Linked DNA regions of Arabidopsis thaliana. The protein of the gene in region 4 interacts with the protein of the main gene of each other region in a pairwise test. Each region holds a gene or a part of one and is shown on either strand. Other genes may lie near its edges. The genes, in order: AT1G76210, FMO, UBC17 and AO.

Region 1 (3,134 bases), on a different chromosome or scaffold from region 4:
GAGTTTCTTTTCTTAACATGCTTACTCTTTGAGATTGTATAGATGTAATTTTGTTCATTGTGAAGTATTGTTGGCTTTAGTTTAGGCAAAGTCTCTCAGATCATATTGATCTTTAGAACTTGTAAAACTTTGTGTGCAGCGTTCTTAAATCATATTCAAACGATTACTTGTCAAGAATACGAGTTCGAGATAACAATTATCAGCAGATCACTTCAGTACTCTATGAATATTTCATAAGTTTATAGTTATACAATCATGAGACTGATGAGTGTATCAGTTTTCTTATCAGAAGTTGTTGCAAAACAGAGTAAGGATGAATTTGAGATAATGGGCTTATTAATTGAGTTTCATGGGCTTTATTTTATGTTTGATGGGTTGTTTGCAAAAAAAATAGCTAAAGAAATTACGCAATAATGTCTTATTTTCTCTGTGTGTTTTTATAATCACGCAATAATGTCTTCTTATTTCTCTTTTTTTAATCACGCAATAATGTCTCTACATGATGATGACAACAGAGAAAATATAATGCATGGTTGATTATTCGTTATAATTAGTAGCTATACCTTCCAAACGGGAAATCGAATAATAAGATTGCTGCACTAACAACATAATAAAAATGAAAGCATTTCAGCATTTGGAGTTGGAGGGATATGAATCTAATTATATAATTTGTGGGAAGATATTAATTTGTTGAAAATAACCTGAGATATAAAGATCTTAAACATAAAATCTAATCCAGGATGTATTCATGCGTCGAGCCGTCGAGGTGGTTACCTGATTGATAGAGAAATTAGACATATAAACATATATGTATTAATGTATGCGTATTATTACTGTCCACGTTATAGAAAAGGTATATTGGTATTTGTGTGAAACTGTGAATATTTCGCTTGTCCAGAAACATATATTGAGAGGTTAACACGTAACACAATGTCACAATCGCATGTATTGCCAAAGATAAGTTCCGGTTTTAAAATGATTATTGATCATATATTCATATTGATCAAGTAGTTACCATTATTTGTTTTCTGTTACTGTAAGACTTATATTACTTTCTTGTTGGTAATTAATATATCCATTTAACTTGATACATAAAACATATCTGACAAACCCTTAACATAATATTTAAAGTCTGATCCAAAATCTAAACATTTCTCATCTCATTTAATATTCGTCCGTCTGTTCCAAATTGTTGCAATTTACCAACACAGCCTGGCACCGTCGCTCGTGCATGCATGGTATATAGTATATAATTAAACCTTAAGACTATATATTAGAATAAAAATCTTTAAAACTATATATTATAAATTGAAAATCTAAACGAATCCACAATGTACCCTAATCCACGAGTGCCTCTTACGTACAAAGAAGGTTCCTTGTGACATGTTTTGAATCATTTAAATCATTGTTTTGATAATACCTCCAAAATGAGCTGTTCCCCGGATGTCCCACGTCCGTACAAAAACCCAAACTTGGGAACCTTCATCGTACTTTCCCTCAGATCCTTCTTAACCTCTATATATAATCTCATTCTTACACACATTCAATATATCTCTAATCTTCGCTTAAAACTCTCAAGAAGCCCTAAAAACCATTCACAATTACATCAAAAAATACCTTTTCAAATTCTTTTTTTACATTCATAAAGCTAAGTATCTCGAATAGATTAAGATCTATCTATGGCTCAGATTAACTTTGAGGGTTTGAGAGAGCTACACGACTGCGTAAACTATCTCCTCCATCACTGTCCGAAAACAAGAGAATCTCTGTCTCAACAAGGACAAGAGAAATGGACGGAACAAGTTTCAGAAGCTTCATTGAGGATGTTAGACATCTGTAACGTATCCAAAGATGTGATGACGCTCGTGAAACACAGCTTGCAAGATCTACAACTGACTCTACGTGGCAACGAATCATCTGATGTCAACGAGAAGATAGCTGCGTATAATCGGTATAAGAACAAGCTCAAGAAGGAGACACTGAAATGCTTAAACTGTTTGAAGAACATGAAAGGAAACGAAGGAAGAGTGGCCATGCCAATAGAACAGAACCTTCTGTTTGTCACAGAAGTTTTGAAGGAAGTGAGAAGAGTCGTTGTGACGATGGTTGAGTCTTTGTTCTCACTTGGTTGTATTCCTTGGCTAGAGAAGAGATCGAGCAAAGGGTCTTTGTCTTCGATCTTTTCCATTCGGTCTTCCTATTTGTTAGATGATGAATGGGACGAGACTGCGGTGCAAAGCGCGACTACGAGGTTGGAGGCGGCGGAGATTACTGTAGTGGAGCTTGAAATAGAGTTGGAATCTATTTTCCGGCGATTGATTCAGACGAGAGTTTCACTTCTTAATATTCTCACCAACTAGATAATATATGATATGTCCGGATCGGTTAGGTTTTGCTTCAAGCGGACATGTTTAGTTAACATTAAATAGATTGATTTGTAAACTTATTTTCAAGTTTGCAACATCAAATTCTTTTATTCTATATAATTTATTTTTTTACCCGTTTCCTAAACTGGCTACTTGGATTAAAGACTTGAAGTTGAAGGCACACTTTTTGTCTTCACCAAAAATAGAGTCAAAATGAAATTGTTATTCAAGTAAAATTTGAATTATAGATGTTTGTTTATTTATTCACAATTCATGTTGCTAGAATAGACATTTTCAATTTGATGATTTTGCATATTTTTTTTGGTTTTCAGATATAGTTATAAAAACCATTAACAAATTCAGTTTCGTAAGTGTTAATTTGTATACTTAACACAGCGAATATAACTAATTTCTAGTGTTTCTTTGTAATTCGTATCATTGGAGGCTGGATCTAAAAACACGAATCTCGCAATGCGTTTTATTTCAAATTAATTTGTTGACAGCAAAATAACAACATGATCAGGAAGTGCAACACACAAGTAGTAACTTAAAACAGAAGCAGCAAGTCTTACAAAGTTGTGTACAAAAACAATTCACGTCTTCTTCACAGTTCTCTTTATTTCGACATATGAAGCTGAAAATTAAGAAAAAAACAAGAGACGATCCTTTTTTCGTCATGATCTTCAAAGGTTCAGTGAGACCTAGCAGCAAAACCCAAAACCAGATTAGTGTCAAGTAGTTTGAGCAATGCTTATATGGTTACATGAA
Region 2 (5,062 bases), on a different chromosome or scaffold from region 4:
CTACGAGAAATATAGATATAGCACTTTTATTCGTAGAGACAATTCATCAAACAAGTGGTGTGCACATTGGAATTGATCATAGTATGTAACTCAACACTAGCGAACCAAACGCTAGACCAACTGAAACATAAACACAAACACAAACAACCATCTTTGCAACCTCAAAACAACAAACCCAATCCTATAGAATTGTAAAAAGATGATTACTTGTCTAAGAGAATGACCACGCTCCAGAATCCAGTCTCCTCATGAATGAATCTCTTTAATGAGAAATCTTAACTTTGTGTTCCTATGTATGCATTTGCTCTGTTCTCGTCAAAACAAGTGACAACAAAGAAAGATCTGTTTATTTTGCCCTGTTTTCATGCTCTGTTTTTGTATCCGTGTCATATTAAGCAATGTTGTTACTACTAATGTTTAATGGAATATTTTCTTTTAGAAATGGAATTGATAATAATAATAATATATATTCTGTGAAAAGAAAGAAAAAAAATAGATTTAGTGGGTCCGTGTAACACAGCAAACAAGTCAAGTCGTCTTCAGAAAGTTACAAGTGCACACTGACGTCATGGATGATGAGTGCACAATCATGCAAATGGGAAATTTGCTTTTTTCGCTAATGAAAGTCTCATCGCATTATTTACATACCTTTATAAAATCATTCCAAACATTATTGTTATACATTCCTTTTAAGACTATAACTCTACTTTTTCACATTCTGAAACACAGCAACCACAAGACACACTTACAATTACATAACATATATATATATATATATATATACCCAACCATCATTTTCGCATAACAAAACTCCCACGTCAATTATCATTAGGTTTTGAGCATCGGCAAAAGTTCTTGATAACTTGACATGAATTTGACGAAATCATCGTATGCTTCTACGATGAGATGATCATCGTCCCAATTATCTCTATATGTAGAGGATTGTGCATATATTCTCTTGAAACCGATGTAAAACATTTGTTCTCTCCATTTCTCTATCCGGGGATATTCACATTGATCCGCAAGCCAATTGTCGTATTCAAACTGCAACAACAATTCAACCAAAAATTTGTTTAGTCTCAACCTTTTTTTTTTTTTATGATAACATGTTTTGTAATGTAATGTTGTGCTACGAAATATGTGTACCTGAGAGTCATCTGGCATCAAATGTGTATATCTTTTGGGAATTCCCGAGGCTTCTAGCTTATCGTAGAATGCCTTAGTGTCTTCCATCATCTCGTCTTGCGATGGGAGAGATACTCGGCCGGACAAGACCGCTGCGACCCACTTGCTTTGAAGCTCAAACATCGGAAAGGGAGTGATCTAAGAAACCAAGTTAAACCAATGAGATCTTTTTTTTTTTTTTTTTTTTTGTGTGCACCTCAACCAAACAATGAGATCATATGCAATAAAAGCAGCAAATGTATTCACAGAAGCCAGATCATAAACATTATAAAGATTATTAACCTGCCATGGTAAGCCGATGAACGAAAGGCTGGGGGCAAGAGCTGGAGGAAAAACATGCTTATACAACGGTCCAACACGATTATCGTCAACAGTCACCTCACCTTTCGTGTCAAGAAACGGGAAGTAATACTTGTACCTGATGAAGATATTAACAAGATAAAAACAAGTCAGTGAAAACGTTTTCAAATTTCCTATGTTCTGTGTTCTGATGTTTAATCTCTTTTAGAGATTTGAGCCGATATGTATCTTACCCGGTACAATGCATGATGGTATCCGCGTAAATTGTCTTTCCATTCTCGAAAACCACCGAACCGTCTTCGCGGGCAATTTGAATCTACAATGAACGTTGTAACCTATATTATATCATTCAACCGTCTTATAGATGGAGTAACTGAATTATCAAACAACCAACATCATTCATTGGCCGGTTAGTTAGTGTACCGTTGAGTGAAGCCATAGATTCTCGTAACCGGTAAGCTTCTCGTAAGTATCCGGTGAAGTTGATCTAGATGATACGTGGACTTCTTTCGCGACCTGCGCTATATCTCTGCATATATCAACTCCACTCGCAGAGCTTCCGATCACTATCACCACCTACAAATTACACAACAAAAAGGAAACGATCCAAGAGTTAAAAGTGAAGAGAAACGTGGATATATATGAGATCACGTACAAGATTCACTCTAGTGATGGGATTCTTCTGCAAGTACCTGATCTTTGAATTGGTCAGGAACACGGTAATTGTGGCTGTGAATCTGCTTGCCTGGCCATGAATCTATGCCTGAAAAAAAAAAAAATATTATTCCCAAATGAAAACCTAAATATTGATATTGTTTGACGAATAATCCATCCCTCAAGAAAACTCTGTTTTTAATTGAATTCTTACTATTTTAAACTAATTTTCTTTATGTGAAATTTTTTTAAACCTATCATATTACGACAAAATTCTTTTTAATTGAACATATAAAATACACAAACTCAAGACACAAGTAAGGTTTTGCTTATTACCAGTGATAAGAGCATGACGAGGCTCGGTATAGTGTCCGTTACAAACCACAACGGCGTCGTATATCTCGTCGACAACACCATCGGAGCTTCTCGATTCAACCCTCCACTTCCCTCTCTCCTCCCCCTCTGCCGCCACCTGCTCCGCCTTAACAACCTCCGTCTCGAACCTAACCATTTCCTCGATATCGAATTCTTTAGCAAAGTCTCGCAGGTAAGCAAGAACCTCAGTATGAGCCGGATGTCTTCTCGGATCCCTTGACCCGTCGTGTGGTCGGGTCGCAAAAGGGAAGTCGGTGAAGCCCATGCATTCTCGAGGGATGTTGGTACGTAGGGATCTGTAGAGGCTTGAGTGGACGACGGGTCGGGTCGGGTCGAGGCTAAGCGGGTCTGGTTCGACTTGAGAGGTGTAAGCCCACACGCCTCCGATTTGGCTCCCGCGCTCTAAGACGACTACTGAGTGGCCTTCACGACGTAGCTCACGAGCAGCTACGAGTCCAGCGGCTCCGGCTCCGATTACTGCCACGTGGCGAGAGGTGGTTGGATCAGGATGACTCGTTGCCATGTTAGGTTATAGTGAAGTTTTGTGATCTAATGAAGAAAGATGAAGAGATTGTAAATTTGTAATGTTAACGAAGAGAGAATTGAGGTGATGGTGTGTTTCGATTATAACGATGTGTATATTATATACGAGGAAAAAGGTAACTCTAACGATGACGTGTCACTTCAGTGTGGACAATTCTTCCGTAATCTCGTAGGAATATTAAACTCAATTAAGTAGGTAGCATACCTTCAGGCTTGAGAGTCATGTTTAGTTGTTTTTATCAGAGAATATAAAGAACTTAATGAATTTTGTATCACTCTAAAAGTGACTATAAAACTTGTAGTTACATAAAAAAATTAGAATCTATCACTGATCTACCAGAATTTGAACTAAAACTGATTATCAAATTTGAAGATATTCAGATAAAATTTTGCAATTACATTTTATGGGATTTGTTACAAAAAAAACATGATATAGAGCTTTAAATCATTTGATCAAGTGGATGTGCTTCCACAATTTTTAATGAAAAATGATTGAATTAACATTAATTAAGCTTTAATGATTCATTGTAATTAACTTTCCTTTATATGTATCTTTTTTAGTTTTTGAAGAAGACTGGTTACTTCTTTTAAAGTGCAGCCCAATGTATCTATCACCCAACAGTGTCCAGGATCATGTGTACTATTCAACATGGTATACCAAAAAAGAAACTTTTTCTGTTATAATATGTGTAGGAATAAATATATTTATGTAGATTGGCATCATAAAATATTCCTATCAGTATTCACATCATATAAACTAATATCGTTGCATATATATGCACAAATATCTAATTTTCTTACCAAGAATAATATTTATTTATAAATTAGAAAATATATTCAACAATTTGTTTATCCCAGACTATGAGTAATATCCCAAATTTAGAAAACAAAAATTGTTTCTAAAGTTTGCACAGCTTCTTTTTTTTAAAAACCTTTCCAATCAATGATTTAGCTAACTATTGTTTGATCTGGGGGAACATTTTTTTTTTCTTTCTGAAAGGGCTAATATATGAACATTTTAATGTATAGACACATCGGTTATCTCTCTTTTGTAATATATGCCTAATAGAAGAGATCAAGAGAAAAGATAAGACATTTTTAATTTTTATGTCCCATAACATATTCTTTATAGCAAAAATATAAAAGTAATTGAAAAGTAAACTAAAATATTATTCGAATAGTTTTGTGAAATCAGTTTATTTATATAATATAAGTAGTACTTAAAAGGTCTGTTTTCAGATTATAAATAGTAAGTTTTATATACTTACATCTCAAAATATTGAAAGTGAGCTTTCTTTTACGATTTAAATTAAGTTTGATCATGTATATTTGGTTTTAGTTCAAAAATAAAATACATAAAATTAAGTTTACTGTTTGAGTATATATATTATAAAATTAGTAAAAAGCTATGAGGAGACGGCAAATATGAAATGACTACGTCATTGTTCTTTGAAAATTATGGACGCCAAATCGGAAAAATATCCATCAAGTTGCAAACAAACCCTTTACCAAAGTAGTTTGAAAAATGGAAACGACGTCTCTATTTTATCTTCTTCATTTGCTTTATGGACACTTTTGCCTTTTGGACAAAACACTACAACCGTAGATTATATATTTATATCAAACCTCTTGGAACTTCACAAAGACTAATCTACCAATTAGGTTTTCGCTTAGGTATGGTCGAATTGTTGTACATATATATTCTTTTTTTTTTTTTTTTTTAAATCTAAAGATTAGATGTTTTATATATTTTCATATATATTTTTAAAAATATACTACTTAATTTGTAATTTTAATGTGTTTTTGTAGTTGTTTATGCAACAATTTGTTTTTTGGTATGTCTTTTTTTTTTCTTTTGTGCAAAACTTTTTTTTGGTATGTCTTAAAACGAACATATTTCGTTTTCTCAGACCAAAATGCAATTTAAGCGACAATTAAAGTGAGGAATTTGTAGCCGATGATGTGAGAGGGAGTTGCAGCGTCAGTGTGAAGAAGACAAATTATC
Region 3 (3,318 bases), on a different chromosome or scaffold from region 4:
GAGCCTTATGTCTATGAGTGGACATCAAAGCACCGTGGAAGCATCAGTGCGGAACATGGATTAGGTGTAATGAAAGCTAATGAAATCTTCTACAGCAAATCACCCGAAACTGTAAGTTAACAACAAACAACGTATGGAAACTATGTATAGAACTATCGTGTCACTCTATTCTTACCGGAATATAATATTATGCAGGTTGCATTAATGGCTTCCATTAAAAAGTTGCTGGACCCAAAGGGAATTCTCAACCCTTACAAAGTTCTTCCTCACTCTCTCTTCTCCAACTAAGGTAAAAGATTATTATGCTTTATGATTACGCACCGAAATTATTGAAAGCATCTATCTTTCTATCTATGAATGCTCTTCCAACGTCAAAAGTGAAGAATCATCATCTTTTACTTTGGAATCATTGACATTCTTTTTTCGGCGAATGCAAGGGTGGTGATGAGATGATTCTTCAAACAGGAATTTGGAACATGAGCAGCCAAGTTTGAGCGATATGATTGATGCAAAGGAACAAAAATACAAGTGCTGATTAAAAAGTCTTTAAACTCAAAAGTGTATATGCTTCGCTTCTTCTTCTTTGTTGTTGTTGTTGTTGTTACCTTGTTTTAATATCTTTTTAGTAAAGGATAAGAAAGAATCTAAACCTATTGATCTTACGTGTATTTAAAGTTAAAATTTGCAGTGTATGTAGACCAAAACTCGAAAAGATAATCTATAATAATAGTATTTTCAAGAATCTTCACATAATATCTTTCTATTCTTGGAATTTCTGTTGTAATGGATTTTCTTATTTTGTTCACAAAAAGACTTTATTTTTATTTTTCCCCATAGTTCTGTTTTTACTTCATGTATTACCTTTCTTTAATGTCTTACTAGGAGAAACCAGATCGGTCAGATAAACCGGAATAATATCTGGTCCGATTGATTTGTATAAGTCTAACTAACTTCTCTAATTTAAGAGATAAGCTATAGATTTTAACATATTTGTTCTAAGTTCTACCAAGTATATATTCTTCTGAGACCTAAGTTGGACCTAACTAGATAGGAATATAAGATCCGTATTACCATAGTTCATAGACCATAGTTTCCATGGAACAAATGTGTACAAGTTTTGGTTTAAGGTGAAGCCAATGCATACAACAACATCATGCATCATAATTGTAATTATGACTAGTCAGTTTTGATATATAATCAAGTTGCTTACAACTTTTGTAACCATCGATCCATTCAAAATAATCAGAAGGACAAGGGCAATAAGACAATGAAAGCAATATATCATCGCTAAAAATCCAAGGCATCGTTGAATGATGGATCCATAAACCGGAAATAAATTAAAATAATGTTACAAGCCAACTTTTACCTGATGCATGTATCAATTCTTATTTTTGGTTAATATCAATAATATGCATGCATCAGTTTGGTTATCCTAAAATTTACATAACTCAGATATTCATAATGGTATGAGATTTTTAATTTAAGAAATTTGGTTTTCCGAAATAGATATTGGAATGTTTTATGATAATATTCCTAACTGGTTTGATCATGATCGCGAGAGTAGCAAAAGCGTGTAAGATTCGCTTCTCCAACACAAGTGGAAAGTCCCGGATTAAAGAGAGCCGACACAATAAAAACGACGTCGGATTGATGACTGGACATAGACCCAAACGCTTTAGACACATTGCAAAGATGATAAGACACTATAAAAAGCTCACTGGATATGGCTAAGGAGACAAAACACACACAATCTCTCTCTCTCACACTCACTGTAATAAACACAAATGACGAGTTCTTCTGAATCAACTCGCAAGGTTGGTTAATTGTTTCTTTAACTAAATATAACAGTACCTTTTTGGTTATAATTCCATTGTTGTCTTTGGTTTGATCATCTCTCTCTTGTTCTTACTATGTTAGGGTCTGACCAAAATCGCCACGAACCGGTTGCAGAAAGAGTTCATGGAGTGGCAAACCAATCCTCCTTCTGGTTTCAAGCACAGAGTCTCTGATAATCTCCAACGGTACATAATCATTTTATTGTCTTTCCTTCGAATATTGATAATCGGTGATGTAATGTTGAATTGTTGGTGTAAACAGATGGATCATTGAAGTGCATGGAGTTCCAGGAACTCTTTACGCCAATGAAACTTACCAACTTCAAGTTGAGTTCCCTGAGCATTATCCTATGGAAGCTCCACAGGTTCGTCCTCTAACTCCTTTTGTTAATACTTAACGATACTTAATCATCGCATCAATCTCATAACCCGATGGTTCCACATATAAAACAGGTTATCTTTCAGCATCCAGCTCCACTTCATCCTCATATTTACAGCAACGGTCACATTTGTTTAGGTAAGTACATACAAACACAATGACTCACTCTGTTTCAAAGTCCAATGACAAGACCCTTCTATGTGTTCTTTTGATTATGCAGATGTCTTGTATGATTCGTGGTCACCGGCGATGAGACTAAGTTCCATCTGTCTCAGCATTCTCTCAATGCTCTCCAGCTCATCCGTGAAGGTTTGTGTGTTTTATCTTCTTCTCATATTTCAAAGGCTTTCACAGAATAATCTTCTTCTTATGATGTTTATTGTTCTCTCCTTACAGCAAAAGCCGAAAGACAATGACCATTACTTGAAAAACTGCAAACATGGAAGATCTCCCAAAGAAACTAGGTGGCGTTTCCATGACGATAAAGTATAACATCTCCTATAATATTGTGATTACAAACGAATTGTAAGATCTCAGGTCGAGTTCTTGATCTGTTGCTATCTTTAAAACAAGAACAGCTTCTTTCTACAGTTTAACCATACGAAAAGCTTGAGCATAAAACTTGAAAATTTGGAAATAACATGATTCATTATTATATGAAAGAAATCATCAACTGTTAGTACAAACCAAGAACTGAGAGAATGATTGATCCAAAGAAGAGAGAACTTTGCTTCTAACAAGCCTTCGTGTATATTTGATAGAAGACAAAAATCTGTTTCTATCTCTAAAGAAAAGAGCTGCTGATGACTTTCCATCACATCTTACATTTGTAATAAACACTAGGAAGGACTACTCAGCAGAAGCTTCATTTGTTCTTGCTCATGCTCCATTTTAATAACACCTGCAATGTCAAAACCTAAAGCTTAAGCATATGAAGCAAACACGAATCATACAGATGCTAGAATACCTACTAAAAGTGTTTATAGACCAAGCAATTTCACATGTTTCCCAATAGACTACAAAAGCTATTCTAATTGCTCTTGCTCTGTACATTTCGACAAGAAACTTCAAAGGCCCTTCATGAAACTCAACGTCAAGCTCAGA
Region 4 (6,424 bases):
ACATTGTAATTCAGGATATCTTTATTCTTTGTTAAATCAAATTGCACGAGCCAAAACTATCTCCTGAAAATACCCTTTGAATTTCATTGTAGCAGAACGGCGATGGCAGCTGCAGAGCAGGCAAGACTTATGATCTAGCTGGTTTCTGGATGTAACTAGTAACTAGGCTGTTCTAAAGCGACATTGCAGAAGAGATCTCTGATTATTAATGGATGTGCCTTTGTGCAGCCTTCTCAGATCACACCCTGGTCTAGTTGAAGAAGACAGGAAGAATGAATTCATGTTTGGTCTGGTCATGGAAGCCATACCCGAGCTTGGAGCTCGTGATTTCCTCAGGAGAAGGATAGAAGCTTTTGGAATGATTTACTCAGAAAAAAAAGGAACCGAGGATATGGAGTCAGTGAACACAAGACTGTTCTCAATCCTGCTTCTTGCTTGGGAAATCCACACTCACAGTTGTTTCTTTCATTCAGAAAGTCATCAATAAACCATAACAAAGGAATTGAAATATGAATTACCAATATGATTGATATCTCAAATGAATAATTTATTTCCTTTTGTATTACAGAGTGTCAGAATCAGAGATTCCTTTTGAGATCCAAATTTTTTCAAATTGATACAATAATCAGAGAGGTTTGGATTCAAATAAGAACAAAAACTCCTGCAGTTTTAGCAATCAATAAGTGAGCTGCTACTTATATTCTGTAACCGCCTTGAGCTCCAACTAGCTGTTGTAGGAGAAGACGGTAGAATAATCGTCGGAATCCGCTTGCTTTCTTCCACAAAAGGAAAGTCTGTCATGTAATGAAGACCTCTGCTTTCATGTCTAGCTAACGCGCTGCTCACCACAAGCTTAGCGCAACAGAACAAGTTTCTCATCTCACAAGCTTCAAGAGCTACCACTGTTTGTTCCCATCCATGTTCAAACAAAAATGTTTCCCATTTTGCTTCTAGCTCTGCGATTTTCCTCTCAGCAGTGGTGAGCCGAATTGTCGATCTGACAATACCAACATACTTCCACATTACCTCCTGAAGCTCTCTTCTCACTTCTTTAGTCAAAGCTATAATCTTTGCTATTACTTCATCTCCTAGCAATCTAGCTGTCGCAACAACAGGCCTTGTCCATTTCTCTGATGCGCATACATCAAGTCTTGTGCGTTTCATGAGCTCAGTCGAAGGCTGAACAGCCCGTCTCGCGAAAACCAGAGCTTCTAAAAGCGAGTTACTAGCAAGACGATTTGCCCCGTGGAGGCCTGTACATGCTACTTCACCTGCTACAAACAATCCAAGGACATTGGTTTCGCCTTGTAAACCAGCACGAACTCCTCCACACATGTAATGGGCTGCAGGGACAACCGGAATAGGCTGACGGGTGATATCCAGACCGTGTTTAAGACATTCAGAAGCTATGTTCGGGAAATGGGCAAGAATCTTTTCTCTTGGCTTATGGCTTATGTCAAGTAACACATACTTTTCGTTTCGTTTCTTAAGCTGGTCATCAATACTTCTTGCAACCACGTCTCTTGGAGCAAGCTCAGCTCGTTCATCGTAAACAGGCATGAATCGCTCCATTCCTAGATTATAGAGGATGCCACCATCACCTCTCACCGCCTCGGTGATGAGGAACGCGTTTTCCCTAGCAGTTTGTAGTTTGATGGGAAGACCTTCGTCGGCTAGGGCAGTAGGATGAAACTGCACAAATCTAACCAAAAACAAATACAAAACATAAGTTTATTGTCAACAAGTTTCTTCAGTCGGTTTTTCGGTGTTCACTTACTCCATATTTGAGATCACAGCTTGAGCTCGATGAGCCATCGCCATCCCATCTCCAGTAGCCACCTATACAAAAACCATGTCGATAATTAAAATGGAGCATAATATATCACTTTTAGAGAAATATCATTGCGACTAGCACAACCGAATTTAGCAAAAAAATGTACTCTATGACTAAAATCTCTTTGTTTCTGCAACTGTTTGAACTATTAAATCTAAAACTCTAATGCAGTATGTTTGTGTATACCCGTGATAATTTCGACATTTTCTTTTGTATTCAAGGGATAAATCACATTACTTAATCAAAGTTTCATTTTTGGATATTTCCCATAAACACACAAAACTGTTGTGTTGATCCTGCACATTCTTTCTTCTGATAAAATTGGTAAAATGAAACTTCCATAGAGCTTTGTTAAAAAGAGAGTCTATAGAAAATGTTACCAGAGGATTTGTGGTTGATGGATAGATATGCCCAGCTCCACCTGAAGCAAGCAATGTCACCTTCGATATAAAGCGTACTACCTGAAGAAACATGAGTTTTTTTTACATTACAATCTAAGATATAAGGTGAATGATCAAACCACCAGAAACAAGATCTTTGTGTACCTCATTAGTTTTGATATTCAAAGTGTCCACACCATGACAAACTGTGTTCAAGCCATCCTGTTAAGATACAAAAAGATATGATCTGATAAGCCAATTGATCATATATGCACATGTGTTTTTCAAGGGTGTGAAGTGGAACCTGAGAAGTGAGCAGATCGATTGCAAAATGGTGTTTGAAGACAGATATGTTGGGATCATTAAGTACAGCTTCAAGTAAAGCTCTCTCAATCTCTCTTCCTGTCATATCAGCAGCGTGAACGATCCTACAATGCGAGTGACCACCCTCTCTGGCCAAATGCAAATTTCCATCCTCGCCGTGATCAAATGATGCTCCCATTGCAATCAGTTCACGAATCCTTTCAGGCCCTTCAGTACACACAACCTGAAAAAGAACATTCAGATACAGAAAAGTGAGACAGGTTTAGACCATTACAAAATGCTTATGCACGAGACTAACACAAGCACTTATCAAACAGTTTTGAGGTAATGATCAGCAACAAAGGGAACTTACTCTTACGGTTTCTTCATCACAAAGATGAGCACCAGCGACCATAGTGTCCCGCATATGACTTTCAACAGAATCCAAAGGGCATAACACAGCACTAACACCACCTTGAGCATAGTTTGTGTTACTCTCATGAGGCTCATCTTTGGTAATCACTGCGACTGTTCCTTGCTTTGCAACTTCTAAAGCATAACGCAGACCCGCTACTCCACTACCAATCACAGTGAAATCATAATACTTTGTTGAAGAAGATACCGAAACAGCCCTGATAGGTTTTGAGGTCTCACTGATGGGGGAAATACCACGAGAGTAACAACCACATCTCTCAGCTTTTAGAGCCTTAAATACCCCACTTGACCTATATGCACACAGAGATTATAAAAGTTTGAGTCCAGCATGAGAAACTATAGGTCTAACTAGTTAAAGTTCTACATGAGAACAAAGAGCAAAATCATAAATGAGAAACATGAACCTCAAAATGCCAATTGCTACACAAAAGGGACAAAATTTGGGATTAAAGATTAAAAGAAGTGATACCAAGAGGGCTCTTTGAATGGATTTGCCATGAAAGTAGAAGCAGAACTCCATGAAAAAGCTTGTCCCCTGTAAACCTGCCCCGCAAGATAGAAATTATGAATGTTTCCAGTAGAAACATGAGCCGCCATTTCCGACCTTAAAGCTCCTACAAAAACATGAAGATTGTTGTCATAAGAAAACATCATCAAAACAAAACAAGAAACATTCTTTCTGTACAATATAAAATCAAAATGCATAGATCCATCATCCATGATGCTCAAAATCCAAAATTTGATTGAAGAACGATGAGAATTGAGGACAATGTGTTACTCAAAATCCAACAATAACCTTTTTTATATCGAAACTTCTGAAATGAACAACGATAGAAAAAAAGACATAAGAAATATCGCAACCGTTGTCTGAATTCTGGAATTTAGGAGCAGAGGAAAGAATTAAAAAAAAATGTGTAGACTAGATCACACAAAATTCAGAATCTACGTTGAAATGAAACCAAGTAATGAGAAACGCAGAAATCTTACGGAATCACGGGAGGGAGCTCTCTGATCTAAGCACGAAACGGAGAACCCACGCGAGTGTAGATCAATAAAACGTGATTCAGACTTGATTAAAAAAACGACTTTTCGCAAAGAAACAATCAAAATTACGACGAAGAAGAAGAAGAAGAGGAGAAGGAAATGAACGAAGACAACACAAATTCTGGTAAGAGTGTTTTATGTGGTTTGGTCGTCGAGAAGAGTCCTTGAAATTCGCGCCTTCGTTTTGTGTATGGGAGCCTCCCCCAAGTGGTGTTGTTGGTCTTTCTTTATTCTTCTCTTTTGTCACTTTTTATGTCTTTGGGATCTTCATTTTTCATTGGCCTTCTTCAGTTTTTCTTTTATCACATAAAAAAAAAAGTACTTCTATGAAATAAACTTTTAATAAAAAATGGAATTTATTACTGAGTTAAAAAAAATTGGAATTTATTACTAGGCGTGGATTTTTAAAAAATTAGTGTATAAGATGATAATTTACTTATAGAATATTTCCCAGCTTTCTTCTACAAATATACACATTAATAAAGCCATTGACCCTACAAATATTCAAGTTTATTAGCCCTGTGGTTCATAATTTTTTAATATTAAGAACATTTATATATAAATAACAACGGTAGCTCAAGATGTGTGACCATGATTTTCCAAAACTAAAACTAAAAAAATAAATAAAGCAAATTAAATTTAAAAGAATTCTAACAACTTGTATAGAACTTTAAATATGTGTTCATACATGCACCAAGCATGACCGACTAGAAGAATCATGGAAAAAGAACATTCACTTTTCCATGACTCGTGGCCAATGCAAATCTCCAACGGCCACAACTATTTATTTCTATAACTATAATTTCTGGAAAAAGAAAAAAAAAATGGAGAAAAACTATTTGGATTTTGGAGTCTTCTTTTGAGTCTTTTTTTATACTTTTGATTTGTAAGTGGTGGCTTCTGAATTTTCCATCAGACAACTGAAAAAAACCTAACGAATAATAAAAATCAATAATATAAGACCGAATTATGATAACCATTCAAATGACAACTGAAAGAAAACAAATTAATTAAATAATAAAATTTCAAAAACCACGAATGCAATTTAAAAGGGAAAATGTTGGCATTTTTATGGCTATCATAATTTCCTTCTTTTCTAACTAAACATAGTGCTAATGGTTTGCTTAACTAATCAGGTATAACATCCACAATTGATGACATCCTCATTTGCTTCTATCGGAATAAACTGATTATCATTTGCTTCATCATCTTTAGACCTATGCTATTTTGGACCAGTCATGGTGTTGATGTATGCATCAAGGATGGCCTTATAACTAGAATCATGGGGAAAAAAGAACAATCACTTTTCCATGAGCCTTGCTAAATCTCCAATGGCCACAATTATTTTATTTTCTACAAAACTTACTGGAAATCACTTTGAGTCTTTTAGTTTTGACTACCGTTTTTAAGGGGAGAGATGACTTCTTCTGGATTTTTTATCGGACAACAAAAACGAATAATTAAAATTGGGCTTTTGAAAGGCGGGCCCAATACTGACCTAAGATTTTGCATGGAAATAAGCCCTGGATTTTCCAGAGGCCTAAATTAAACCCGAATCATCATGCAATTAGAATTGTTCAGCCCATAAATTTTTAATTTTTTCACACACATGAGCCGATGGCATTTCGTTGTGCTTCTTACTGAATTTCACGTCACGACTAAAACCTAGAAAATCAGCGAAACACATTAGCAAATACTAATGTTCGTCTCGTAGTTAGTCAATATCTTATTGGTAAAACTCGCACATATGTAAAAGAGCAGTGTCCTAGTTGTTCCTTCTAATGATATAAGATCATTTCCGCAAATCAAATTGCAGTTTCACCACGTAAATTAATGATAGAACCTCAACAATATAATTAGTATCAATAAGAATTAGCTATATTTATCATATTATATAATTAACATAAATAAAGTCTATTTAAATATATCATTTAGTTCGTAGCATAAATCATTACATGATTTTGAAAAGATGGTAAACTTGTGAATCACAAATTCCTTGGCCATGTATAGAATATCAAACCTGATATTAGAATCAAACAAAATTAAATGATAAGATTGTGAATAAATGAGTGTTAGGTACTTAGGTCCATCAAATTCCTCAATCATACATTCTACGACATAATTAATTATAACATTTATATGTAAAAATACACACTCCTCTTATATAGTTATGACAATAAAATGTTGTATATAAAATTACTACCCCTCTTATATATTGCCTCAACTTCCAGCGTTAAGAGTTTAATATGTCTAGAATTTTAAATGTGCCAGCTATATCAAAATATCATTGCCTCTGTTTTTCTTTCATTAGGAAGAAATATTTTTTTTAAAAAAACCATGTACAAGTATCATTGGATATGTGATATGCCCAAATAGATCATTCGAATTTTGTATGCAGAAAACTCTAATTCTTAGTTATGGATGCAAA

What was found.
Region 1: the proteins of AO (region 4) and AT1G76210 interact in a two-hybrid assay, tested with the Arabidopsis thaliana proteins (one large-scale study listed by BioGRID).
Region 2: the proteins of AO (region 4) and FMO interact in a two-hybrid assay, tested with the Arabidopsis thaliana proteins (one large-scale study listed by BioGRID).
Region 3: the proteins of AO (region 4) and UBC17 interact in a two-hybrid assay, tested with the Arabidopsis thaliana proteins (one large-scale study listed by BioGRID).

Annotation. Positions count from the first base shown.
Region 1 is NC_003070.9:28,594,428-28,597,561, reverse strand, and holds AT1G76210 (DUF241 domain protein, putative (DUF241)), read left to right. Parts: upstream 1-1,565; 5' UTR 1,566-1,679; coding exon 1,680-2,360; 3' UTR 2,361-2,612; downstream 2,613-3,134. Other genes in the region: AT1G76220 (hypothetical protein (DUF241)), read left to right, coding at 1-32.
Region 2 is NC_003070.9:4,135,602-4,140,663, reverse strand, and holds FMO (Flavin-binding monooxygenase family protein), read right to left. Parts: upstream 3,154-5,062; 5' UTR 3,038-3,153; coding exon 2,476-3,037; intron 2,249-2,475; coding exon 2,178-2,248; intron 2,062-2,177; coding exon 1,909-2,061; intron 1,802-1,908; coding exon 1,719-1,801; intron 1,604-1,718; coding exon 1,468-1,603; coding exon of another isoform or gene 1,324-1,467; coding exon 1,147-1,323; intron 1,045-1,146; coding exon 829-1,044; 3' UTR 506-828; downstream 1-505. UniProt on the Arabidopsis thaliana protein: Catalyzes the conversion of methylthioalkyl glucosinolates of any chain length into methylsulfinylalkyl glucosinolates.
Region 3 is NC_003075.7:17,200,185-17,203,502, forward strand, and holds UBC17 (ubiquitin-conjugating enzyme 17), read left to right. Parts: upstream 1-1,737; 5' UTR 1,738-1,784; coding exon 1,785-1,814; intron 1,815-1,917; coding exon 1,918-2,021; intron 2,022-2,097; coding exon 2,098-2,200; intron 2,201-2,288; coding exon 2,289-2,352; intron 2,353-2,434; coding exon 2,435-2,523; intron 2,524-2,610; coding exon 2,611-2,706; 3' UTR 2,707-2,804; downstream 2,805-3,318. Other genes in the region: D2HGDH (FAD-linked oxidases family protein), read left to right, coding at 1-111, 196-288. UniProt on the Arabidopsis thaliana protein: Accepts the ubiquitin from the E1 complex and catalyzes its covalent attachment to other proteins.
Region 4 is NC_003076.8:4,766,258-4,772,681, reverse strand, and holds AO (L-aspartate oxidase), read right to left. Parts: upstream 4,420-6,424; 5' UTR 3,940-4,419; intron 3,567-3,939; 5' UTR 3,550-3,566; coding exon 3,422-3,549; intron 3,243-3,421; coding exon 2,891-3,242; intron 2,762-2,890; coding exon 2,519-2,761; intron 2,437-2,518; coding exon 2,380-2,436; intron 2,296-2,379; coding exon 2,215-2,295; intron 1,840-2,214; coding exon 1,778-1,839; intron 1,703-1,777; coding exon 670-1,702; 3' UTR 529-669; downstream 1-528. UniProt on the Arabidopsis thaliana protein: Catalyzes the oxidation of L-aspartate to iminoaspartate. Can complement nadB-deficient E.coli mutant. Plays a role in stomatal immunity.